Drosophila melanogaster: one gene and its partners. The protein of the gene in region 3 purifies or fractionates together with the protein of the main gene of each other region. This does not show direct contact. Each region holds a gene or a part of one and is shown on either strand. Other genes may lie near its edges.

Region 1 (8,982 bases), on a different chromosome or scaffold from region 3:
GCCAGAGACGATTTTCCATTGCTTATTCTTGATCTCGACGGGGAACGAGAAGATCACATCCTTGGGCGAATCGTAGCTGCCGTCGGAGAAGACACCCATGGAGACGAACTGGCCGGGAGCAGTGCCGTTCCACCAGTCGTGCATGTGATCGCAAGCGGCCTTCGCCGCCGACATGGCCGATGACATTTTGCGGGCCGCAATGACAGCGGCTCCACGCTTCTGAACGGTTTCCACGAAGGATCCCTGCAGGTAGCCATTATCGTTGATCGCATCCACCACGGACTTAACGGTACCATTGGCGGTCACCTTGGCCTGTCCAGCATCGGGATACTGGGTGGAGGAGTGGTTGCCCCAAATAATGATGTTCTTAACAGCAGAAATTGGCACACCCAATTTGGCGGCGATCTGGGATGTGGCGCGATTCTGATCCAGGCGAGTCATAGCCGAGAAATTTTCGCGCGGAATGGAAGGCGCATAGGAGGAGCAGACCAGGGCATTGGTATTGGCCGGGTTGCCCACAACCAGCACCTTGACGTCCTTCTTGGCGAACTTGTCCAGAGCCTGGCCCTGGGTCCTGAAGATCTTCACGTTGGCGGACAGCAGATCCTTTCGCTCCATTCCCTCCTTGCGGGGCATGGCGCCCACGAGGAAAGCGGCCGAGACATCCTTGAATCCAACAGCCGGGTCGGTGGTGGGCACCACCTCGACCAGCAGCGGCAGAGCGCAGTCGGCCAATTCCATGACCACGCCCTCGAGCACACCAACCATGGGCGGAATGTCGAGCAGGTGCAGCACGATGGGCTGATCCTTGCCGAACACCTCGCCGCGGGCAATCATGTACAGCAGGGAGTAGGCGATTTGGCCAGCGGCTCCGGTCACCACAACACGAATTGGTTCAGCCTGAAAATATATTCACTCGATTAGGAACATTCCTTTAAGTGTATTTCATCTTCCTTTTTCCATTTCTTTATGCATTTTCCGTATTTTATTTCAAGAATGTTCTTAGCTATGTTTAGATGCAGCTAAACTAATTATACTGTAATAAGGGGCGAATTTTTCATCCAGCCTTTGGCTTTGGATCTATATTTTATTTTTAGACGCTTAGCGGCGAGGAAATATATGCGAAAACTGCTAACTACACAAAATACTTCGTATATATCCAGCTCGCCATTTCCGAATTAAAACCCATTTAAGTGCAATTTCAGCAAAATTAATGCAAATATGATAGCTGAAAATAAACAAATGCGTGACCAGGTTTTTTGTTACTGTTTTGAAGTGTGTCTTTATCAGCTTGCATTTGTTGTTTACGATAGATAACGAATTTACTTTATACTTTATACTTTAGCTAGAACTCTTAAATTTCCTCTCCATTTATCTCTGAGCTGGCATTTTCAATAGTTATAGATTTAATAAAACATTTTATAAGTGATGTGCTTTGATTTTTGCTTGCTAGTGCATTTTCCGCCCATCCTCGTTACGCAATCCCAGTTAATCCTTTCCTAAGGGCACTAAAAGTAGGCCACTTGTGGCAATTGACCCCTATTTATGTTTTGCCCTAAAGAAAAGTCACAGGGCATAGTTTCCAGTAAAATGTAGCTAAAGACGGGAATTACTAAACATAACATATATTATATTTTTATATTATATATTTGTCATTGAAGAAGTTTTTAACTTCCAAACAATTGGAAGCGTAACCCCTGGGAGCATTTAGCATTTTTGATAAGATATGACAGATTTGAACTGCATGGACTTTGCTTCACCGCCTCCAATCATCCGGTTTATATAAGCTCTATCTGCTCCGGCAAGAGCTATTAAAACATGAAAACAACATTTTTATCGCCGTCAATTGGCAATTAGCTCGCATTTGCAATAAATTCATGCTTTTGGGGGCCTCTGAAAATGCAACATTTGTGCATACGTTCGAATTGACGTCACTAAGGTTTTTGGTTTTTAAGATTAGCATGAAGAGAGGTCAAATGAATGTTAAATTTCCAGAAAAATTATTGCGACCAATCACACATACCGTCATAACTACACATTATTGTGTACGGCACTTTGAATGCATATGTATGCATATTCTTCACATTTGATAATCAAATATGCAGATTATTAATAATAATTTGATGATATATACTATACGAGCGTAGCGAGAAATCGCCGGCAAGCTTACCATTTTAGAATTTCACAGGTGCAACGCTCCACGGACGAACTTCAAGTAAAAACGTAAATAGGGATCGCCAATTGGGAACCTGTTACTTTTCACAATTATTTTCCAGTCACTACTTTTTGAATAAAAGTAGCCGTGACTCCAACGCAATATGTTTTTGGCAAAATAATCGATTATGTTGCTCCTTACAAATTTACTAAATTTTTAAATAATACAAAGAGTTAAGGAGTTCTCTTATTGTTATTAATATTTACAGTTGCCAAAAAAAAGTAAATACATATATAAATAAATAAAACGATGATAAATGAAAAATTAATAGAAATATAGTTATTAAATTAGTTAATGTAAACAACAAAATTTTGCAGAAAAAGCATCAAATATCATATTTCTTTGCATTATTCTTGGTCACTTTGTTTACACATACAAAATTAGTACCTAGCTATATTTTCATATCTGAAATACGCAAATGCAGTCGTGTGAAGTGATTTTTTCGCTTGCTATTATCGATAGTTTGAGCTGTGGAAAAAAATCGAATGTTTCTTGTGGAAAAAATTGGAGTCTTTAATTTGGCGAATCCATTCGTTTACTTTGCGTTTATTTTTAGCCTTAGTACTTTCGTTTGATACGTTTGCTACCAAGTATTTATAAAAATTAAAAAGCGTTCAAAAACACAATTAACCATTGCAACGTCGTTTCATCAGCTATTCAGAGTGAATAAAGAAAACCTACATCACACCTACAATCATACGTGTTACGTGTACATACATATGTGTATGTATATATACTCTTGCTTATGTACATTAAACATTTGCCGTTTTCCTTTCCAACCAGCCTTTTGTTATTGTCTAAAAATCGATTTTCGTTACCCTTTTATACGAGTTCGTGATTTGCCATAATTAATAAACAATAAATCACAGCTGTGGTTTGGTAAATAAGTGCAGCGTGAACAATGTACGCTTATGTACATAAACACTCGCATATGTGTGCGTATATAGTGGATTAACAAATTGCTGATGTACACATATTAAGTGCTTTTACAATGCATACGCAAATATCGATGCAAATTCTAGTAATTTTGCTTAATACCCACACGTATTTGCATGTCGCCATACTCACACACATGTTCGGTTATTAAACTCTTGAAAATTGTACTTTCTTTTTGATTGTGTTTTAAAGAGAGCTTCCGTTTTAAATTTGAGAACTTATTGATGTACGCAGGTAGTGCGTATATTTCCGAGCTGGTTTGATTTTTGTTATGAAAAGGTATCCATATTTAAAAATACTTTTTGTGTTTGTTTGTCTGCGTTGTAGGCATATGCGTGTGTGTGTATATACACAATAAAATTACCTGACGGCAAACACCTTCTTCGGGTCGCATTAAATTGTCTTTTTTCAAAGGTTGCATAAAGTCAACAATACCACGAATACAATGGGCAGTATGTAAACAATTTTGCACAAATCGCAACTATCAAAAAAAGTGTTAAATATGGATATTAACTAAAGTGGTCAGCTACAGGTGCCAAATGTCCACAACTTGTTTTTCGTAGTGTGCAAAATAACGGGGTGATTCATCTAATAAAGATCGCATGCCTTCCTTTTTTTTAGGTGTTTTAGGTAGACAAAATCATATATGCATAGTTTAGAAGTACAAGACAAGGGAATATTCTTCTTATTTCAATGCAGGTTCATACCAATCTGATGAAAATCCATCCTACAAAAGCTATCCTTGAGATTTAAGAATCTACACACAAAACTTCATCCTAATCAAATATATATATATATATATATTATTTATACATATAAATTTTATTTACTTTCTACAGCTTGGTTCTCATCATTATCAACAATTTTATAAAAATTACAACTGCGAGTACTTCATCACTAATCAACAAATCACCTGAAAATGAACGGCCTGAGCAGCAATGATGATGCAGTCGAGTGCCCTTTGTGTATGGAGCCGCTTGAGGTGGACGATCTGACCTTCTTTCCGTGTACCTGCGGATATCAGGTACATACTGTCATTAAAGCACCCTTATCAGCAGCGTATTCAAGTGCTATTGCTTCCAGATTTGCCGATTCTGTTGGCATAGGATCCGCACGGATGAGAACAAGCTGTGTCCGGCATGCCGAAAGGAGTATCCCGAGAATCCAGCTGACTTCAAGCCGCTGTCGCAGGAGGAAGTATGTCGTGGTCACCTCGTATTCATTCCACTAACTTCTACTCTTCTTTAGATGATTGCCTTCAAGTCCCAGAAACGCCAAAGGGACCAACAACGAAAACAAAAGATCACCGAGAACCGCAAACACTTGGCCAACGTTCGCGTTGTCCAAAAGAACTTGGTGTTCGTTGTGGGGCTACCGCCACGACTTGCTGATGCAGACGTATGTTGATTTTGCGCCATAGATAACCGACAGCAAACCCACTCACAATTGCCATTTCAGATATTAAAGAAACACGAGTATTTCGGTAAATATGGGAAAATTCATAAAGTCGTTATAAATCCAAGTACCACGTATGCCGGGGTCCAGGTAAGAGTTGTAAGATTCAATTATTTATTACCTCTATACATTCATATGGCCCAATGGGCCAATACCCGAGTTGCTTAGTCATTTTTAGGTGGTTTCTATGAAAACTTTGATAATGGCACGTTTTCAATGAAACTGAACAGATTTACGTGTATCTACCAAAATTTATTTTCGATTAAAATGAATTTGAACCTTTTGTTGTTAGCTGCTCTGGTAAGCGAACATTGTTTATAACAAGAAGTTTAAGTTTATTTTTTAACCTTTTTTATTAATATATATATGTATTTTTTTATTTTAGGCAAAATTGTGTGCGAAATGCAAAAATTTCTTGTTAATTTATGATTAAATGGATCGGAATTTACGTTCTGTTTCCGTGCTTATGCTAAAAAAATCAACTTTTGACCAATTATGATAAGAGTCTATTTTAGAATAACCCCGATTATTGTATACAAATCAAAAAGCGTAACATTTGATAAACCTGCTTTCTATAAAACTGCGAGGGTATCAGAGTTTTCGGTCCACCGAATCGCGTTTCACACTCTGCCATCATTGCTTATTTAAATTTTTTCGATTTTAAAGGGTCCATCTGCTTCTGCGTATGTCACATATGTTAATAACTCGGATGCCTTGCGGGCCATTCAAAGCGTCAATAATATTATGATAGACGGTCGGCTTATAAAGACCAGCTTGGGGACAACCAAATACTGTAGCCACTTCATGAAGAACCAGCAGTGTCCCAAGGGCGACTGCATGTACTTACATGAATTGGGCGATCCCGAGGCCAGTTTCACAAAGGAGGTAAGTTGTGAGATAACTAAATTTGTCCGTATTTAAATGTTATGTCCGGATATTTAAAGGAAATGCATCAGGGAAAGCACCTGGAGTACGAGAAGCGCCTGCACGATACTCTAATTGCGTCATTGGGACCGAATGCAACAGGTATTGTAAATGGTAATGGAGCTTCTAAAGCAAATGGTAATTTCAGCCAAGCTACATACTAAATGACTTAATAATGTTTATACCCAATCAGTCGCGATTCCATCGTCATCGTCAGCGTCATCCTCGTCCTCTGGATCGGGTACAAATGGTTCAAGTGCATCAGGTAATGCCCAGCAAAAGGAGGCCTGGCCAAGCTTATCGGTCTCGCCCATCAATGGCAAAGAGGCGGCTGCCACTGCGACCAGTTCCAGTGGGAAAAGTAAACGGGAAAAGCTGCGCAACGAGAAGAGGCACGAGAAGAACAAGGCGAAGAATAAGAACGGCAGCAATACAAACGCCAATGCCTCGAACAAGGAGAACTATGTTCCCGAAACGAGAAGCAGCACAAGTACTGAGACATTCGCAGAGGCTACGGCGGATGCACCGGCTTCCACCAAGGCAGAACCGCCGCAAGCCTCTAGCAATAGAACGAGGGCGGATCGTGGAAAAGATCGGACCACGGCTAGTGCAAAGGAGCAGAAGAAGAGCAAGGAAGCTGCTCCAGCACCTGCAGCAAGTAAACCGGCGGAGCGGGTTGAAACAAGCGAGAGTACAATAAGACAAAAGAAGGCGGAAGTAACAGAAAGCTGTGAAGATAACTTACCACAAAAGAGATTAGCGGGAACAAACGTTCAAAGATCTGTGAGCTCTTGTAGCGAAAATAGCGAAGGACACGTCTCTGAGAGTAGCTTAAGTGAGAAGAGTTTAACTGGTGATTATGTGGAGGAAAAGTGCAATAGTGTGAATTCGGAAAGCCAGCAAGAAAGTGTAAAGTTTCAGGAGGAGCTCGAAAAGAGCAACGAGGCAATTGTCGAGGCCGAAACGATTCTGCCAACAGCTGAGTCCTCTGAGGACATCAGTCCCGCTGCAGTTGCGCCAGGCAATGGAGAAGTCGAAGGATGCTTACCCGTTGTTGATCCAGTCGAACCACCGAGTCTGGCGGATAATGGAAGCAGAGTAACAGGTATTGTACCTTATCCATTTAGTCCACCACACTTTGCTAACACTTTCCGTTGCAGATGCGCTATCTAAGCTGAACATTTTCGATGACACGCCTAGCTTTTTCACATCGCCATCATTCCAGCAAGCACCCATATTAAAGAATAAGCTAGATTTGGAAATGCGACAGTCTCATTTACCTGACTTGGTCAACGGTAAGTTACGAATCTTTGAAAATAAAGAGAATTCTTTAATTTATTTTTTCTCATTTTTCGGTACTGCTAAAAAATATCAACGGGCTTAAACAGACATTGATGGAATCCAAAAGGCATCCAATACAAACGGTAATGGTTTCATTATTAAAGCATGTATTTGAATTAACTCATATTTATTCTTAATTTATCCATCCTTTGCATAAACAGAGTGGGAGGAAGCCTTCAAAAATGTGATGATGGGCAACACGCAGCACATGGAGGAGCAACTGTTGCAGCAGCAACATTTGCAGCAGCATCAGAATTTGCGCCACCAGCTGGTGTTGCAACAGGAGGAGTTCCTTCGCATGCAAGAATTACAGAAACGCAACAACTTTGCGACGCAAATCAACGGTCCTGCGAATGGTAGGTGAATTCCTACTGTGGTGTACTGCAACTTTAATAATTGTGTAATTAATTCCTTTTAGATTTCCTTAGAGCTTATGAGCTCAGAGCTCAAGCCAATGCAATCATTCAGCAACAATTATTACAACAGCACGCAGGCGAAAATCTATTTGGCGGCAACATGTCGAAGTTCTTCGATTTCCATAAAAGTCAGCCGCAGTCACACCATCAGTATCTAAATGGACATCCGCCTCAAATCAATGGGAACGGTGCTGTGCCGGAGCCGCAAAGAGTGGCGGCCTCTTTGGAAAGCAATCGACTGAATTCGCCTTTTGTCGAAAATGGTGGGACATACTTTACAATGAAATTGCTGGCCAGCCCGCAATAATAATATTTACGTTGTTATCCTAGGACTTATTAACTCGCAGCAGCAGCAGCAGCAGCAGCAACAGCAACAAAAGCAGAGAATGATGGGAATGTATGAATTTATGGTAATGATTTCAAATGGATTTAAAAAGCAACATGCTAATATCATATTTGTTTCGATTTCCAGCCTCCAAACACGCAATCTCAGCAGAATCGGTTTACACAGAACTCGATAGTCGACGATGACTTAGGTAAGACCTTGTTTATATCTCACTTCAAAGCCTTTTCACTGATTCTGCTTGTTAAAAGGATTCGACCCGTTCGTTGAGACCCAAAAGGGACTTGCTGAACTTATGGAAAATGAGGTGGTCCAAAAACAGAGTATTAATAATGAGAACCCCTTGCCGAAGTTGCCGCCACAGCCTCAAGTTCCACCCCATCCGCAATTGGTGGACAACCTGCAGCGAGCTCGCATGCCGCCGCCAGGCTTCAATCACGTCAACACATTGGGCTTGGGCGGTGCATCCAGACTGCAGCTCACCAGCAAAATAATACCCTTCATGAACATGCCCGTCAATGGGGTGGGCAACAGCGGTGCCCAGGGACAGCACCAAATGCCAATGGGTGTCAACTGGAATGCGCCGATGGGCATGCACCAGAACCCGGGACAGCCCGTGGGTGATTCGCAATTGCAGCATCCAATGGCTCACAACAAGGGTAAGTAATTGAAATGATTACATTTTTTGGTACCGAGAAAACTGTTTAATCAAATTATTTGGATTCGCAACAGTTTACAACAACAGTGATTGGACTTCAATGGATCCGGCTATACTTTCGTTTAGACAGTATTCTTCTTTTCCACAAAACCAAATTCCCCCACATCCTCAGCAGCAACAGGATTTATTTTTGCAGCATTTGGCTCAACAGCAAAATTCCCAGAGTGGTGGTAAGTGGGGCAACCAAGAGTTTACATATCAACAGTCGATTAAAATGCATCGGATTGTGTACTTGCAGGTTTCAACAACCAGGCACAGCAAATGCTTCCTATGGGGATGCCCAATAGTTTGCTGAACGGACAACAAACGCAGCCGCCACAGGTCAATGCCAATGTTCAGGGCATGCTTGAGTTTTTAAAAAGCCGTCAATTCGTTTAGCTACAATACATATAAATAATACATTTGTTTACCTGTACTCTTTATTAAATATTTCTTAAAGTAAATATAGGCAAAATAAAATTCGAATATAATGAAACTACATGATACAAACAAACAGACGGTCCAGTGAAATTCAGCCTACTAAAAGCATTTGTGCAGCAAGCGAAACACTTGGATGCCGTCTCCCCGCGCCGGACGTGTCCGCATGAATCCAATTATAGTATCCAATAAACCCCGTTCAGGGTGTAGTCTGCTT
Region 2 (7,649 bases), on a different chromosome or scaffold from region 3:
CAGCCGCGGGCAGTGGAGCAGGTACACTGGCATTCCCGCTGGATGTCGCAGGTGCTGCCGTCGCCGCCGCTGCCATGACCGCTTCCCAAAACTACGGTGTGGTTTCCTGACTGGGATGGGCTTCTTTTGCATGCCTTGGGCTCGTTGCTCTCCGCTAATTAAGCCCACATTTCACTTGATGCGTTATTGGGCCACGAAATATGCTGCATTTTCTGGGAAAATCAACTGGGAAATCACGACGCCATTTTTGGTATCGGTATTTGGATATGGGTATCGGTATTGTTCCACACAAAACTTATCGAAAGTGCAGTGCATTAGCGGTATTCTTGAAATTGAAAACATTTTATAAGCAATAAAAACTTTATCAAATTTCAATTACTACAAATCATTGTTTATTATTTATCCGATTTTAGGATGTTTTTCTTTTATATTGCTTAATTACAAAAACCTTTCCGCAACAACTTACGTATACTATATATTCTTTATTTATTCGTGTAAAGTAATAGATTCGTATGAAAAGTATGTAAAAAGTTATGATTAAGCGTGCAATGAAATTTTGATAAAGAATATTTTTAATGTTTAGAGATCTTATTATTTTCATGCTCTTCCAATATGATATAATAATTCAGATGCTAATAAAATAAATGAAGATCAGTAAATTCGATTATCTTTCTGATTCACTTTCCATAGTATCTATGCAAGAAAAAAAATATAAAAAAAATAAAACTACCAAGTTTTTATGCCATAATAATACTTCTTTTTATTGAGATTTTTAAAATCATTTTTGATATTTTTTTTGCTTTGTTTTTTTGTATCTTTATATCACACGTAACGTAAGTAATGTAGTAGATCTTATAATGCTGTCTTAAGTCACTAAATCTAAGTTGATTGAAAAAATAGAAATTCATCTTTGTCTACATGCCGAAACGAATTTTAACGATATTAACAAATCGATGAGGGCTTTGTGCATTTGCATCAAACGAATTTTATACTTAAAATTACAAACTACTTGTTATTGCAGCGTTGTTGTTGTCTGTTGTCTCCTCCATTAACACTAGATATACATATTTATGCATGATGTTTGTATAAAGAGGCGTTAAACATTAGTATATCGATTCGTTTAGTTCACTAGATTATATTGGTAAATTACAAATATTGCGAGTCAGTAGGGAAGGTTAACAAGCGCTTCTTGTTACTTGGGCATAGAACGTACAACGAGTTAACAATGGTGAAAGATTAAAAAAAGATGATCAACTTAAATCGAGTGTAGACAGTGGGCGGGACGTTAAATTAATTACAATTTAAACTACGATTAAAGTCTTTGAATAGAATTTCAATTTAACGACATGACGGCTACAAATTCTTGGTTTGTTTCTAACACAATCGAGTCTTGTTTGTTGCTTACAGTTGCTTTAGCTGGAAATTGGCATAGTTTAGTTGTAGTTTAGATTTAGTTGCTTGTAAAAAGTCATTTGTTTTCGTTTTGTACGTTAATACCAAAGTTTTCACTAGCTTCAGCAAGCGCCTGCGTCTGCGTTTCTCGATAACATTTTAGGTTCGGAATTTCTGGGGCTCCGAATTTCACGGCAAACAATTCGGTTTTAACTCTAATTTCAATGTACTCTAATGTACGTGGCATAGTTGTTATTTTGTTATTTGTCTGTTCTTAGTTTAAGTTGTGTTTTTGTTTCTTTGTTGGTTTTTCTTTTAAACATATTTTTTGTATTTTTGCAGTGGTTCAGTTGTTTTTTATAAGGTTTTTTTTTTAATATGATTCGTTTGCATTTCGGTCGCCAGCATTTGGAGTTTGTTGGTATATTTAGTTTTCTTTTCCAGCATTTTGGTATCTAGAAATAAGATATTCATGAGCCACTGCTCCCAATGCTCCATCTGGCTCAACTTGGTCAGAATATCAATATCAATCTCATTAGCGGAATCTGTTAGTCTAGTCTTAGCAATGGGTCTTCAGTTTATCTAAGGTTTTTCGCGTATGAGGTCCACGTGGTACGGGTTCGGGGTAGTTTGTGATTCTGTGGCGGGCAGGAGATATGGGCTGGCTTTATGAGGCAGGGAAATCTATAACATGACAACGCGGAACAAACTCATCAGCCATCGGATTCAGAACAGACTTTTCAACATCACACTGGCTCTTGGGTAGTGCGGAAAGTGCCGTGTTCTGCTCGTCCGTCCTGAAATAAGCGATTGCAAATTAGCTTTAATTCAGCAATGTTAACCGGATAGCCACTACTCACTTGGCCTTCTCCCATTCGTTGATCTGCTCCTCCAGCTCGTCTTCTATCATGGCTTCAAAACACTCCTGCATAATCTCTTCCTCCTCCAGCCGTTGCAGTTCCTATTATCAGATAGCAAATGTATTAGTTAATTCGTTAATCATAAATAGGAGATTTAATCTTACGTTCTTGTCGAACTCCTCCTCGTTCTCCATCCACATGTATTCGGAAAAATCTGGCTCATCGTCGATGTCTGACAGCGACTCGTCGTCGTCCACTACGTAAATTATTTGATCCGTCCAGTCCACAGATGGCACTTTTAACAACATATTGGCTGTAAGGGATTTTGGATTACTAAAAGCGAACTTATCAACAGTTGGTCTCATATTTCTTAATATTTCAACGATTAAGCTCAAACTATGAGAAATATATTATATTAATAAATACAATTTAAACATTTGAATCTGAGGTGCCACGGAAATATGTCTATATATAAGGCATTCGATTGATTTATAAATTGCTTAATTACAACTTAATCTCAGGAGTTTCAGAGTTTTTCTGAGGTTCTCAAACATACATATTTCTTGTAGCCTACTCCAACGAATATTGAAAATACAAATTCTTCTGCTGTGCTACTGAATGAATTGAATGAATTTTTTTTTAGCTTCGTTTGACTTAGGCAGGCTCTTCTGTATTTAAACAAATCGTATTTAACCGGCAAGAAGCCGGAGCAGTTGTGTTTTCGTTCTACGAAACCGGTTTTCCGTCATTACCACGAGATAAACAAAACAAAAATCGCACCTATACAGGTGTAGTGGCTAACACTAATACCTATTTGTTTATATAAATAAGTGAACATTTTCTCTTTTCTTTTTGCGCAACGTTTTTTTGTTTAGTGATGTCTATTTTTTGCGTTGTGGCCGCGGCACACAAAAATTTGAAAACAAAGTGACTCAGCTTTTGGTGCAAAAGCGAAAAGAGCCCCAAATAAGTGGACATACTTGTATGCTATATACATATAATGTAGTCTATAATTCAGTACTACATCCGATTAGAAATGTATAGGCTCACAACTCGTATCACTTCTAGCCCCGCTAAACATTTTATGGCGTATATAAATGCCGCTATCAGCTAAAAACAAACAAGCAAACGTGTGAAATAACACGAAAGTCAAGAGCGGTATTTATGCAAAACGCAATAAGCCAAAGGCGATGATTGTCATCGGAGGAGTTTGTGGGCTTAGCTATCATGTTGAACGTGCCTGTAACGTTCGATTGTGTACATATTTTTATAATACAGTTTTAGGACATTAATATTTTAATCACGTAATTTCATTCTTTTTTACTCTGCTTACAATATTTGCGCACTAATAATTGCACGTCAGTTTAAGAGCAAATGTTTGACATTTTTTATGAATTGTTTGTATCGAAAATAATATATTTTGTTATTTATTTTTATTGAGGGCCTAGTTCGTTACCCGCGGCTGTGCGAATATTTGTTTACAGTTCTCCATACATAGGCAAGTTTTGCGTGAATGTTTATTCCACACAAGATAATGATTACTCTCCATTCTAGATTTTTATTGCCTTTGGTAGGTCAAATCGCACTATCAATAAATTGAATTTTTTGCGTCTTCCAACTTTTACTTATTTATTTATAAAAATCAGCTGCTTTTATCAGCAAGACAAAGTGCTTGGAAAAAAGAAGTTAGGATGGCAACTCTGGCCCTTTACTGGTGTACGTGCTGCCACACACACGCACACGAGTGAAGCACATCGAATTGCAAGTAGATGTTAAGTTAAGCGTCCATATTTTAAATGAAATTGCGAAAATTAAAATGTATTTGCACGGCGGACTTGACGAAATTCGTGCATACATTTAGTATGTAAAGTGAATATGCAGAAAACACAAAGGAGGCAACAACAAACACACACACAAATGGGCTCTCAAGTGCAGTGGTGTTGGTGTGCCCGATTGAATGAACCTCCCTCAACCCAAAAAAAAGAGCAACAACAGCAGCGGCAATGATAATACATACAGCGCACTGTTTCATTCAAGGTAACAAGTGTTTAAAGTTTAAACATTAATATTCTTGGGGTTCGTGTACTTGGAGTCTAGCTTGGCCCACGCACACGTACACAGGAAGAAAAAAAGTAGACTTCTAGCATTTAATGTTTTATTTGAAGTACACTCAAGGCAATAAATCACTTTACTTGGTAATTATAAATTCGAATTTCTACTAGTAGGTTTGAAAGATGATATATGTATATGTATATGTTAGGCATATGAAATGATTTTAAATTTTATTATATTGAGACATTTTGAAAAGCAATTGACTTTTATACCCTTGTATTGTAGTTAATTAACTGATAAAGTCATAAACTTTCTTTGTGATGTGCAATAAATAGCCTTGATTAATTTTATTACCATGTTAAACGAAATTTTTTCAAGTGTAAGTAGGGAACACCAAGGTAATGTCCGATCCGACACTTGGCCTTTATTGATTTGTCCAGAAGCGGTTTTAAGTGAACGTTTAAGTGTTTTGGCGGAAGCGCCAAAAGGTAAATGAAAAACCAGGAAGCCAAGTTCTCTGACTTCCGCCTTTCCCCGCGCACAAATAAATGTATATACATATGTACAATGTTTGGGATTATTTAATTTGTTTAATCCGATCTACTCACTCTCAATCCTGCCGAGAAGTTCGTCCGCTGTTGCACTGGATATTTTGGAGCCACTTCCTCCGGGAGACTTGTTGTTTTTATCGATGATGCTTGATTTTGTTGTTGAAGAGACTCTCCGTTTTTTTTTTGGGTTGTACTGAGAATTTTGCGTCGCTAGAAAATCGAGGAAAACACTGGTAATTTAGTGTTGCATCCAATCCAGATTGAGTCCACACGGAGAATTTTGATATTTCTATTGCGAAACGTATTCGACTATGTGCTGTGTGCGGAATCACGTCAGTGAACGTCAAGCAACCGAATTGAAAAAAAATTGAAATGATTAATAAAGCAAGGTGGAGAAACATCGATGGCACTATCGATGCATCGATACTCCCCTGCGACTATCGATGTCTTTCCACCTATATATAGTATAGCACAAAGAGTTATAGCATACGCTTTCTAGAAATATTAATACTTTTCCTAAAGCATTGTGATATATGCGATTTAGCACCATTAAAGTAGGTAAATGAGCTATTTCTTCGTCTTACAGTTCTCAGCCGGGACTCAAACCAAATCTATGCGTCAAATCAAACAGCTATCGATTGGCGTGTAAAGAATATGAGCATTTAGTACATTGACTGCCAATAGATGTCTGCTTTCACACATATTTTTGAATTATTGAATATTTGTGTAATTTTGTACTTGAAATGTAGAAAACTGGTCGTTGTGAAACATTTGTCAGCTTGCTTTATACAACGGTAAAACTATCGATAAGATTGAAAGATACTATGTGCTAGGCGCGGTTTTTAAAAATTTTATTTGAAGATTGCGTTGAAGAAAGTTCAATTATCATTTTAAACTAAATTGATATGTATATTGTATATTTACATTTATTTTGTTTTTATTTTAACACAATTAACTCTACATTTATAGTAAACAAATAAAATGCTTCGAAAGTACAAAAAAGTTAAAACATTTAAACAAATAAGTGCTAACTATTTGATTCCTGAGCACTTGGTGATGCAGTTTTCTCCATTCTGCTACGAGGATCCCAAGGTTGTAGGTTCGTACTGCTGCAAAATGCAAATACCAACATGGCCATCGTATTAAAGACAATCAGCGTCATCAACACCACATTCCACTCATCCTTGCTGCCCTGCGAGGTACATAAATAAATCAGTTTAATCATAAACTACTTGTATTTAAACTTACAGTGTGGACCAGAGCGGCCACAAGATGGGGAGCTAAGAATCCGGAAAGATGGGCCATTCCATTGGCCAATCCCGATAGCAATCCCGCGAAGGAGGGCGCAAAGTAGAGCAGCGTGGGCCAGTAGCCACTGAAACCCATATCCGTAGTGGCCATCATGAAGGCAAACATCACAAGTACTAGTATTTTGTCATCACAATTAGCCAGGATGATGACCCCAATCAAAGAAGTGGTCAGGATGCTGCCTGGTATTATAAAATGGGATATAAAAGAGAGATTGGTGATGTTTCTGGAGATGCTACGGAAATCTATATAGGAATCCACTAAGGGAAGGTGTTCTTTATAGATGTCTGTGGCACTCCGATTATCGGTATGCCTTACAGATCCCGTACAGCATTCTTCGCACACAATTCTGGTCAGGACCCACGCGTCGTTCCACATAGCTGCCACCCAGGATGCACATCACCTTCGAGCAGATCCCGCCCAGATACGGCGCCGCCGAGAGGAAGCCCACCTCGCGGAGATCGAACTCCATGGCCTCGCGCATAAATCGCGGCATCAGTTGCACAATCACCAGGAAGGTGTAGGTGTGGAACATGTGGGTCAGGATGAAGGCGTAGACGGGCGGCGCGGCGAGCAGGCTCTTCCAGGGAATGGTTACCACCTAAAAAGAAGCTAATTAATTTATAATTTTAAAGTTAAAAGTACAAGGAACTACTCACTGGCTGCCGCTGCTGTCCCAATTGACTCTTGCCCTGCCTCAGGTAATCCACCTCCTCATTCGATATCCTTGGATGTTGCTCCACGGTGTCGTAAACGAGAAAGCAGCAGGCAATGCCGAATGAGAGGCCAACTCCACCGACTACATAGAAGGACAGTTCCCAGCCGAAGTTGCTCAGATAACTGGCCACCGGGTAAACCAACATGGAGCCCATCAGAAGACCACTGTAGGCGAAGGACAGGAGCGCTGTTCTCTCTGTGGGATGAGCCCAGGTCACGAACAGTTTATACATTGCCGGATTTCCACAGCCCTGTCAAGTAGCAGGATCTATATATATCTATTAGTATCTGAATGATGCTATTCCTTACCGCCAGTAAACCACAGATGACCAGATCAACCACTCCGGCCTCGAAACTAGAGTGCGCCATTGCTGGGAGCAGTATGTAGGCCACAGCCTCGAAGATCAGGGACACGATGAACAGCCGCTTGCTGCTGCACCGATCTGCCAGATAGCCGGATAGCGAGATGGAAACCACGTAGCCATAGTAGTAGACACCTGGGAAGGTCAGCTCCTGGTTTCGGGTCCATGGTAAGTCGCCCGACTGCAAGAATTAAATTAAACTGAAATATTAAGGGGGGATTTAATAGGTTCACAACTTGTAGAGACTAAATTAAGTTTAATAATAATAAACTCTGGATTATCAACTCCATATTTTAATGGCTTAAATGGGTGTTCGTTTGACTTATGTTTCTTCAGCTAAATATATTAACTAATTTACTAATTTTCATAGCAATTATTCACTTTCATAACTATTAATATATCATCAC
Region 3 (9,111 bases):
CTAACATTCCAATTCGGGTTTTGGTTATGTTTTTTTTTTCTGTTTTACTCTCATTATTTTGTTTGTTTGTTTTTTTTAAATAATTTTGCATTTTCTGCATACATGTGGTTTTGTGTTTTGCAATTTTTTCAATGATTTTTCCTTGGGTTTTTATTTGTTTTTAGTTTTCGATTTGTTTAATAAAAAAATATGTATTTCACTGCCCAGAGCGAAAGCCATTTCTTACTTCCGCTTGCGTTAATATATCATTTTATGTATGTATGGTGTAAAAACATCATTTACTGGTAAAACTCTCGATATCCTTTGTAACAGAAATCGGAACGCAAATGAAATCGAGGCGACTTACCAGCTCCTTCTCATTAAATACATATATGTTCTTGCAAATGTTTATAAATGTATGCATGTTTTTCCTTCTCTCGGATAATAGTGTAATCATAAAAATCCTGTCTGCTTTTTTGTTGTTTATTAATATGCTTCATAAGTTGTTTACGCTTTAGCGCTTTTCATGTGTTTCTTGTATTTCTCATATATGTTGTGGTTGTTTAATATGTGTGTTGCTGTGTGTGTGTTTTTGTGTTTATATATATTATTTTTTTTTTGCTGTTTTTACATAGGTTTTGCCATTTTTTTGTAGTTTTTTCGATTTATGTTTTGTTTTCATTTGTCAACATATTTTTTCAGCTGTTGGTATTCTGTATTTTCTCTCTTTTTTCAAAGTAGCAAAAACTTGACTCTCATATTCTTGCGGTTTTCTTTTTCTTTCTTTCTTTCTATTCTTCTGTTCTCTGCACAGTTTGCTTTCCATTTTTTCGTTTTTATTTTAACTCTTTTGCAATTTTTTTGTTTTTTCTTTGCTTTTTTAAAAGTGTATGGTTGTCGCGTTTCTTTTTCTAAACAAAGCTTTCTTAAAGTTTGAATTTGAGAAAAAAGAATTGAAAAAAATTACATATCGCTTTCGTGTTTGTTGTTGTTTGAAAGTGTGGATGGAAAAAGTGTACGAAAAACTCAATATGTATGTAACACTAGAAACTTCTTTAAAATTTTTAAAACACAATTTCAATACTTGCAAGAAGCGGTTTACATGTATGCTTTGCTTTAATCTGTTTATTTTGCAATGGTTTTTTGGTGTTTTCATTATACGCATACAAAATAATATCGATCCAGTTAAAGCAATAACGAAATTTTTTTCATTTCACATTTTTCCGTTTTTTTTTTTAATTAACATGTTTATGTAAAAAAAAAGAATTTATAAGTGGACTGCAGAATTTGATTGCGTGACTTTCTTCTTTTGCTTCGTGTACTTGCGTAAATGCGTTCGAAATTAAATGATTGAAATTGCTTTTGTTGATGTTTCTGGGATTAGAAAAGAAAAAGCCGTAGATTTTTCGCTTTGTTTTTCTGTGTTAATTGTGTGTCCTTGGCAATCCTCCCCTGCGCAAAGCATCAGTGAATGCGAATTTTTGTTGTTCATGTATTGAAAGATTAGTGGAAAACTGCAAGGACAAAAGAGAGGCGAGTTTAGACAGCTTGAACTTTTCGGAAAATTTGTAGACTACTTACTTTTTGGGTGTAAAGTGTTCTTGTAAAATGTTCATACGCTTGAGCTGTTCGAGCTTAGTTGGCGGGCTCGGTGACGCGGTGCACCTGAAGCACGGCCACAGCCTCCTCCACCTTGGCCTTAAGGGCCTCCTGATCCTCGATCATGTGCAAGAGCTCAGAGTTTTCGATCTCCAACAACATGCCGGTGATCTTACCAGCCAAATTGGCGTGCATATGCTCAATCATCGGATACAGACGCTCGCCCAGGATCTGTTTCTGCTCCTGCGGCTTGGCGTTGGCCAGCAACGAGGCAATGAGCTTCTCAGAATCTGCAAGAAAAATAGCAATGGTGCCATTAGTGACAAATTGTGCATATTTTCAGTCGACCTAAAACTTACTCTTTCCTTGCAATTGCTGTGGAATTGGCTGGGTCTGATGCAACTGTGGCACTGGAGGATTGCGCATGTTTGAGGTGTACTTATAGTTGGAAGTACGCTGCTGGGCACCGCCAGCGATTTGGGCTCCGGGGATCTGCATGTTGGGTGCTGCAGTTTGCTGGCCAGTAATAGCGCGTGCTCCAGTGTTGCGCATGTTGTTAGCCGCAGCAGCGGCGGCATGTGTGCCCTGCACCTGAGGCTGTGCCCCGCGAGCGCCAGCAGCAGCCGAACGGAACTGAGTGGGCACCGCACCGGCTGTGCCCTGGAAGCCACCAGCAGCGGCAGCTCCGGCCTGGACACCCTGTATGGCTGCTGGGGGACGCACCTGGGGCACCCAGCGGGGTGTGTTTCTCATCTGAGTGGCCACCTGGGAACCGAAGAAACGCTGATTTGACGGAAGGGTCGGCACAAAGAAGCCGCTAGCCGCGTTGGGCTGGTAGATCTGTCCCAGCTGCTGCATACGCATGCCGGTCATGTGACGCATGTACTGCGAGGCGAGATGAGCCTTGCGCTCCTCCTTCCTTTGGGCCAAAGCAACGTACAACGGCTTACTGCCGACGACGCGACCGTTCAGCTCGGTGACGGCGCAGGTAGCCTCGCTTGCGGCATTGAAGCACACGAAGCCGAATCCCTTGGAGCGACCCTCCTCATCGGTCATGACCTTGGCCGATGTGATGTTGCCGTATGGAGAGAACGCGATGCGCAGACGATCGTCATCGATTGTGTCGTCCAGGTTCTTAACGTACAAGTTAACGCCGAACACAGACTCGTGACGCTTCTGCTTCAGTTCCTCGAACTTGCGCTTCAGCTCCTGCTGGCGTTCGGCCTTCTTCTGGGCACGAGCCACGTACAGGGACTTGCCCTCTCCCATGTCCTTGCCATTGAGAGCCTGAACGGCCGCCTCAGCAGCCTCTGTTGTCTCGAATGCAACGAATCCGAAGCCCTTGCTCTTGCCATCCTCCTTGGACATGACCTTGTAGCTGGTTATCTTGCCGTAGGGCTCAAAGAATTCCTTCAGTTTTTCATCGTCGAAATCCTCAGTGAAGTTCTTCACATATACATTGGTGAAGAGCTTAGCCTTCTCGCCCAGCTCCTTCTCGCGCTCCTTGCGCGGGATGAACTTACCCACGTAGACCTTCTTGCCGTTGAGCAACATGCCATTGACTTTGTCGATGGACGTGTTTGCGGCCTCCTCGGTCTCGAAGTGGACGAATCCATAGCCCTTTGAGTTGCCCTTTTCATCGGTGGCTACCTTGCAGCTTAAAATGTTGCCGAAGGCGGAGAAAGTGTCGTAGATTGCCTTGTTGTCGATGGCCCTATCTAAGTTCTTGATGAACACGTTGCCCACACCTGAGCGACGAAGAGAAGGATCACGCTGAGACCACATAATGCGAATGGGCTTGTTGCGAACCAGGTCAAAGTTCATGGTGTCCAAAGCACGCTCAGCTGTTGATGAAAATCGGGAAAACATTTGGTTACTACCGACACGATTTGGGTATATCAAGATCATTATAAGTTGAAGGGGCTTAAATAACAATGTGACTCTTCAACTTCTGCACTGGCCATGAGCAAAAGCAGCGCAGTGCATGGTAAGTCAAGTCTGATCTTTTATCTGGCAACTATGAATCTTAGTCGTGTCAAAAAGGGTTGAATCTGACCAACCAATGGGTAGGAGTTGCTAGATGTCTAAATACAAGGACAATCTTATCAGTCTAATCATGTGATACATTGAGTGTTTGTTATGCAGATGGTATGCAAAACCCATCAGCATGGTAAGTCGCATTGCTTTCTCTGGCAACTATGAATCTTAGTCGTGTCAAAATGGGTTAAATCTGACCAACCAATGGGTAGAAGTTGCTAGAAGCTTAGATAAGAAAGGGCATAATCCTTCGAGTCTAATCATATGATGTATTATTTAGTGTTTGTTATGCTTCTACTTCTGTGGATGGCATAGATCAGCCATCTACATGGTAAGTTGCATTGCTTTCTCTGGCAACATTGAATCTTAGTCGTGTCAAAAAGAGATAAATCTGACCAACCAATGGGTAGGAGTTGCGAGATATGAATCGAAAAAAGAAAAACATTTAGGGTGTTACTAGTCTAGAACGAGATGGTATCATTTTTGAAAGGTCTGTTTTTCCAACCTAACCTTAACAGCTAGAGTTCAAGAAACTTGCTGGAATGCGACAGACTTTCACACGCAGCGTAATCATCACCAACCGCCAGCTTTGTGCCATTGTGCGCTTAATTGAATAAACAAATGTAAGCGAACAACGGGAATCGAAGAAGCACCAACTATGCGCAGTGAAAGTTTTGTTTTCGTTTTTTGTAAAAACAAGATTTTGATGGTTAAAAGAGAGGCCGAAAAGCAGTTCACTGACATGTCAAGAATTTGGAAGTGTTGATGGATGGAATGCGGAGAGTATGGAAGATATGAGAAAGTGAAAGCAAAACAAAAGTTGGAGGCAGTACGAAAACTAAAGAGCGAACGTGCGGAAACTCAGTTAATGGAATATAACCTAAAATAGATGAAGGCCAAAAAGAAATGGTCCAAACAACAATGAACACATGTTTTTGCGCGTCGGCGTGTGCGTGCGCGCAAGTTTGCCGCTTGGAAACAACACACATCACACGAATAAAACGAGAAGAACGGGCAAGGAAACAATGAAACCACCAATGGGCGGGGCTGCGATAAGCAGTTTGGGCAGTATGGAACCATATTATTCCATCATAATTGCAATTTTGTGCGAAATTGAGACGGAAATTTCTAGGCGAACAGTTGATGAGTGCCACGAGCCAGCTGTTTAGCCCCCATCATCCCCCCGCACAAATCGTATACATCCAGAATAACTGGAACTGATATAATCATGTGTGTGTGTGTACACACTGGCGGGAATTGAGTGCGTGTGTGTGTGCGCGACGAGATTAACGTAAGCAGTGCACTGTGGAACAAGTTATGAAACACTTGGAAGCCGTTTATCTGGTCTCCTATGAAAGACATCTTTCAATAAAGTCCAGTTTGGACTTGCGTTTAGCCCCACTGTATGACATGCGCTAGTGTGCGTGCGTGTGTGAGTAAGCGAGTGCAAAACTGCACACGTGTTTTCTTTGTTTCGCGCGGAAGGGGGCTACTTTTGCGGGCAGTAAGACTAAAAAAATTACACTACTTTTGCGGGGATTACTCACCATCGGCTGGCTGCTGGAAGTTGACGTAGGCATAGCCCAACGAGCGACGGGTAATCACATCGCGGCAGACACGAATGGACAGCACTGGACCAGCAGACGAGAACTTGTCAAAAAGTCCCGATTCGTTGACGTCCTGTGGGAGATCACCGACGTATAGAGAAGCCATATTTGGTGATCAGGTCTACCTGCAATTTTTAACAATTAATTTCCACTTTTTTGACACTGAATTTTGGGTTTTTTCTTAATCTTTACGGACCGGATGGATTCGACCAGGCAGGCGGTGAAATAGAAAGAAAAAAAGCGGCGTGGCTTTCGGTCTTCTATTCGTCTCTCTGTCTGTGTGTCTGGGTGGCAACACTGGTACATGTGACAGTCGGTAGACATGGCAACGTTGGCATTTGCTTTGTTGTTGCTCTTTGCTCTCCCCTTTTATTTCTCTTCGTGTTGGAAAATTTCCACACAGACACAAAGATAGACACGCGTTTGCCTGATCGAATTTTGGGGAATTCTTTGATTTTCTCGAAAATATGCGACAACTAGTTCCTAGACCACTATTTTGCGGGCAATCTGGCGTTTATAGACGCCATCTTTGAGCGAAGAACGACCGCAAACAAAGCAAATTTCGATGGGAAAGGAAAATTTCCCTATTCGCTTTGTCGTGCGTTGCGCCCTCTCACTCTCTACACCATTGTAACCAATAGCTTTACACTGTACTTACTTCTCAAACACGCTCGATTTTTTTTGCTACTTTTTACAATTTTTTTTGTTACGTTTTTGTGTTTTAATATTTTTTTTTATTTTTTATATGTTTTTTCTTCACAAAAAATATGTGATAAGCCGTGTGCTGAAAGCGAATCCACGACCGCTCACGTAAACGGACTCTACACGACTCATAGAGAGGAGATTCGTTAGCGATGACCCCACAAAGTATCGATTAAATCCCACTGCACAATGCTGCCACATAGGGTTAGAGACAAATAAATGTCACTAAAAAATCCGTGAGGACAATTTACTAATTACGAAGCATTATTTTGAATTTCAAAAAAGCCAGCCATCACACATAAAAAATTTTTATATTTAGCTAATTCCCGAAACATGAAATACTTGTGCATTTTCAGGGGTTCTTTGGTAACTCTGCTTCATTTATGTTCTGATATTTTCGCCAATGTCCTTGAATACTTTGTCTCATAAAACACAATCCAAAATTAGGAATGCAGTTTTTTTTTCTTTTAAAAATGAGCGTAGACTTTTAGAAAATGATTTTTTGGCACTGCACAGATATTAGCGTATGCTCCGAAAACCGAATCCCATCTTTGTAATTCCCCACTGTGCGAACTTACCTAAATCAGAGAATAAAGCGATGAGGCTGCAAGTCGACACTCCGAGAAGTGCTTGAGTACTTCTTTTCGTTCTCGATGGAAATCGGCACTACAGAGATTGAAGAATTTTTTAAGTTTTTTTTTTGTGTTTTTGTTTTTACGAAATAGACCACATTCAAGGATGGCTGAGGATAATTTTTTTTTTCTTTTTCCCGTTTTGAACGTCTGGTGCATGTGCCCTATCTGGCGATCGAGTACCTAATGAAGCGGTGTGAGGCGTCGGTGCCTGACAAGCTTCAAAGCGAAGTGTCACTTTGGGCGCCTACTGGCGTGTCCTGAGTAAAATCTTAAAAGATTTGACATTTCGGAAACATTTATTTGGGCATTATATACTTCATTAAACATATTTCGATCTGGTTTGGCCAAACATTTACTTGGCTTGAGAATTAGTTTGCTTTCAACTCAATTTTGATTTTTCGTAGCATTTAATAGTTAAACATAAAACGTACTGGCTTAATTCATTATTGTGTAGTTTTGCCTAGACTATGGGTGAAAATTATTGAACTAGTCCTACATTTTATTAAATTTGTGTGTATGTATGTATATCAATTGTTTTTTTTTTGTATGCATGACATGATTTGTGAGTTTTCCCATTTGAAGGTATATTTTTCAAAAACATACATGGGCGTGGCGTATCGCTAAAGTACAGTACTGAACTTAACTGAATTGTTCTCATTATTTAATACGTTTTCATTCATCAGCGAATTTTACATAGGCTTCCAGATTAATCTTGTAATACTTTTACCAATTTTGTGAAAACTTATTTATGTTCTGCTGCAACACTTAACTGCCATTGCACAATTATAACCTGTATTCAGTTGCTTTTTGCTTTTTTTTCGTTTTTTTTTTTTACAATTTAACATTTTATCGCTTTAATGCTGAACCAATATTTTGAACAATCTTTTTCTATTTTGGCAGTGGGTTGGTAATAAACTTTTAAACATTAACAAATAAAGAGGCCCGTAGTTGGCAGCGTTCATTAATACATAATAACGAAAAGAAATGATAATGGAAATGAAGAATATAAAATTCATAATGAGTCGGTATGCCAAAGGGTTCAATTTCCAAGCAATCCAATCGCCGTTGTCGCTGTATCTCCGCCCCACTCCACCAGGTACTGGACCTGTCCATTTCCCATGCGCCGCTTGGCCCGAATGGCAAAGGGCTCACCAGCATCTATGCGATTCATAGCGCCACCAAAGTACTTGTTCACCGACTGCTTCAAGTCCAGCATGGAATGTCCTGGGGCTCCAATGCCGTTGCTGCTGCTGCTGGTTGCCGTCGAGCTGGTGGAGTTCCGGCGGCTTTGGCTGGGTGACTGCTTCTGTGGTCGCTGGCGCAACAGGCGCCCATGTGTCGGCTTTCCCATTGGCGGCGCGGGTGGCTGCAGATCTTTGGCATAGATAGGAAGGTAGTGGCTGGGTATGGGATTGATGGTGGTGGTGCTGATGACCTATTAAGTGGAAACGAAAAAAACATCTCAAACATTATAGTTACATTGTTGTTAGTTAAACTCTTACCTCAATGGCCGTGGTCAGGCGGCGAGTGCGTCGTCTGCGCACTTCCTGATTGGGCCCTATCGTAATGTCTTTGGCACTCAGTCTTCGCTTGATGGTGCGCACCATGCGCGGCTGCTCCTTGGAGGTGCCCTTAAGCTTGAAAATGCTGTTTATGATGCCATTTACTCCGACTCCAGTTCCCACAGAAATACTTCGTCCCTGCGACGCCTTTTTGGGAGTGGCCATAAGGAATGGATTGTTGCGTCCCAAAAAGTTGACCGGCGGTGGTATGATGAGGTCCAACGAACTGGTTCCCCGACTGCTGCTTGAATTCTCGTCGGATGATAGATCACAGTGATTGCGGCTGTTGTCATAGCGTTTGGACAATCGGAAAGCCTTGCGCTTCCGACTGCTGTTTGCGTCCAGCAGAGGTGGAATGGGAGCTGGTAGTTTGCCGGGATCGCCATCGTTGGCATTGTCGTCGGCGAGGTCCGGCTTCAGTGGCAACTCATCATGCTTATCGGCCTTCTGAGCGGCCTGCTTTTTGGCCTTCTCAATAATCTGTTTGATGGGTATTTCGTCCTCGCTGGTCTCGACTGGGTCATCTTCATCTGTATTAAACTCATACACATCTTTGGGAACTCTTTTCGGAAGCTCGTTGGCACCTTCATCAGGCTCCTCGGGCATGAGCATTAGTTTAAATCTTTTTTCGAGCAGCTCATCGGACAGCTCCTCGTGGGGCTCAAGGAATACCTTGGGAATGTGTGGCGGGCCACTGTGTCTCAGTGCATAGAAGGCCGGAGCCCTTTTAAACTCCCTGCCGCAAACAAATCTGTCAGAGTAATCCTTAAGGGTTTGCTTGAGACGCTCCATCAGTGCCGTTTCGGGCAGTGTGCGCCACTTCTCGCAGATAGGCAGCTGGTGGCGCTGCTCGAGTATGAAGGGCCAAATGTCATTTAGCAGGTGATGGTACTTCTGGTGCTGATGCTTTCGCAGATTGTATAGTGCAATGTGGAGCACATCCACCCATTCGATTTGCATACGACGAACGAATTCTATGCCATTGTTGCA

Evidence for each region. Proteins that work in one complex are often made in the same cells at the same time.
Region 1: the proteins of pAbp (region 3) and Cnot4 purify together in Drosophila melanogaster (affinity purification with western blotting; one study listed by BioGRID). This does not show direct contact.
Region 2: the proteins of pAbp (region 3) and Paip2 purify together in Drosophila melanogaster (affinity purification with western blotting; 2 studies listed by BioGRID). This does not show direct contact.

Annotation. Positions count from the first base shown.
Region 1 is NT_033779.5:10,394,045-10,403,026, forward strand, and holds the start of Cnot4 (CCR4-NOT transcription complex subunit 4), read left to right. Parts: upstream 1-2,671; 5' UTR 2,672-2,938; intron 2,939-3,134; exon of another isoform or gene 3,135-3,603; intron 3,604-3,956; exon of another isoform or gene 3,957-3,990; 5' UTR 3,991-4,070; coding exon 4,071-4,175; intron 4,176-4,234; coding exon 4,235-4,348; intron 4,349-4,399; coding exon 4,400-4,549; intron 4,550-4,609; coding exon 4,610-4,705; intron 4,706-5,272; coding exon 5,273-5,491; intron 5,492-5,550; coding exon 5,551-5,668; intron 5,669-5,723; coding exon 5,724-6,635; intron 6,636-6,690; coding exon 6,691-6,825; intron 6,826-6,918; coding exon 6,919-6,954; intron 6,955-7,032; coding exon 7,033-7,227; intron 7,228-7,289; coding exon 7,290-7,550; intron 7,551-7,617; coding exon 7,618-7,697; intron 7,698-7,759; coding exon 7,760-7,823; intron 7,824-7,881; coding exon 7,882-8,289; intron 8,290-8,362; coding exon 8,363-8,518; intron 8,519-8,586; coding exon 8,587-8,726; 3' UTR 8,727-8,982. Other genes in the region: Mdh1 (malate dehydrogenase 1), read right to left, coding at 1-900, 2,171-2,173.
Region 2 is NT_033777.3:12,978,651-12,986,299, reverse strand, and holds Paip2 (polyA-binding protein interacting protein 2), read right to left. Parts: upstream 5,255-7,649; 5' UTR 4,913-5,254; intron 2,566-4,912; 5' UTR 2,561-2,565; coding exon 2,417-2,560; intron 2,354-2,416; coding exon 2,253-2,353; intron 2,190-2,252; coding exon 2,060-2,189; 3' UTR 812-2,059; downstream 1-811. Other genes in the region: CG31342 (uncharacterized protein), read right to left, coding at 1-76; CG7091 (uncharacterized protein), read right to left, coding at 5,883-6,047, 6,104-6,345, 6,482-6,764, 6,823-7,131, 7,190-7,423.
Region 3 is NT_033778.4:18,137,724-18,146,834, reverse strand, and holds pAbp (poly(A) binding protein), read right to left. Parts: upstream 6,758-9,111; 5' UTR 6,503-6,757; intron 6,059-6,502; exon of another isoform or gene 5,881-6,058; intron 5,461-5,880; exon of another isoform or gene 5,419-5,460; intron 5,348-5,418; 5' UTR 5,329-5,347; coding exon 5,163-5,328; intron 4,034-5,162; exon of another isoform or gene 3,897-4,033; intron 3,836-3,896; exon of another isoform or gene 3,693-3,835; intron 3,657-3,692; exon of another isoform or gene 3,511-3,656; intron 3,423-3,510; coding exon 1,938-3,422; intron 1,869-1,937; coding exon 1,615-1,868; 3' UTR 1,561-1,614; intron 1,494-1,560; 3' UTR 600-1,493; downstream 1-599. Other genes in the region: Pcl (polycomblike), read right to left, coding at 7,599-7,994, 8,062-9,111.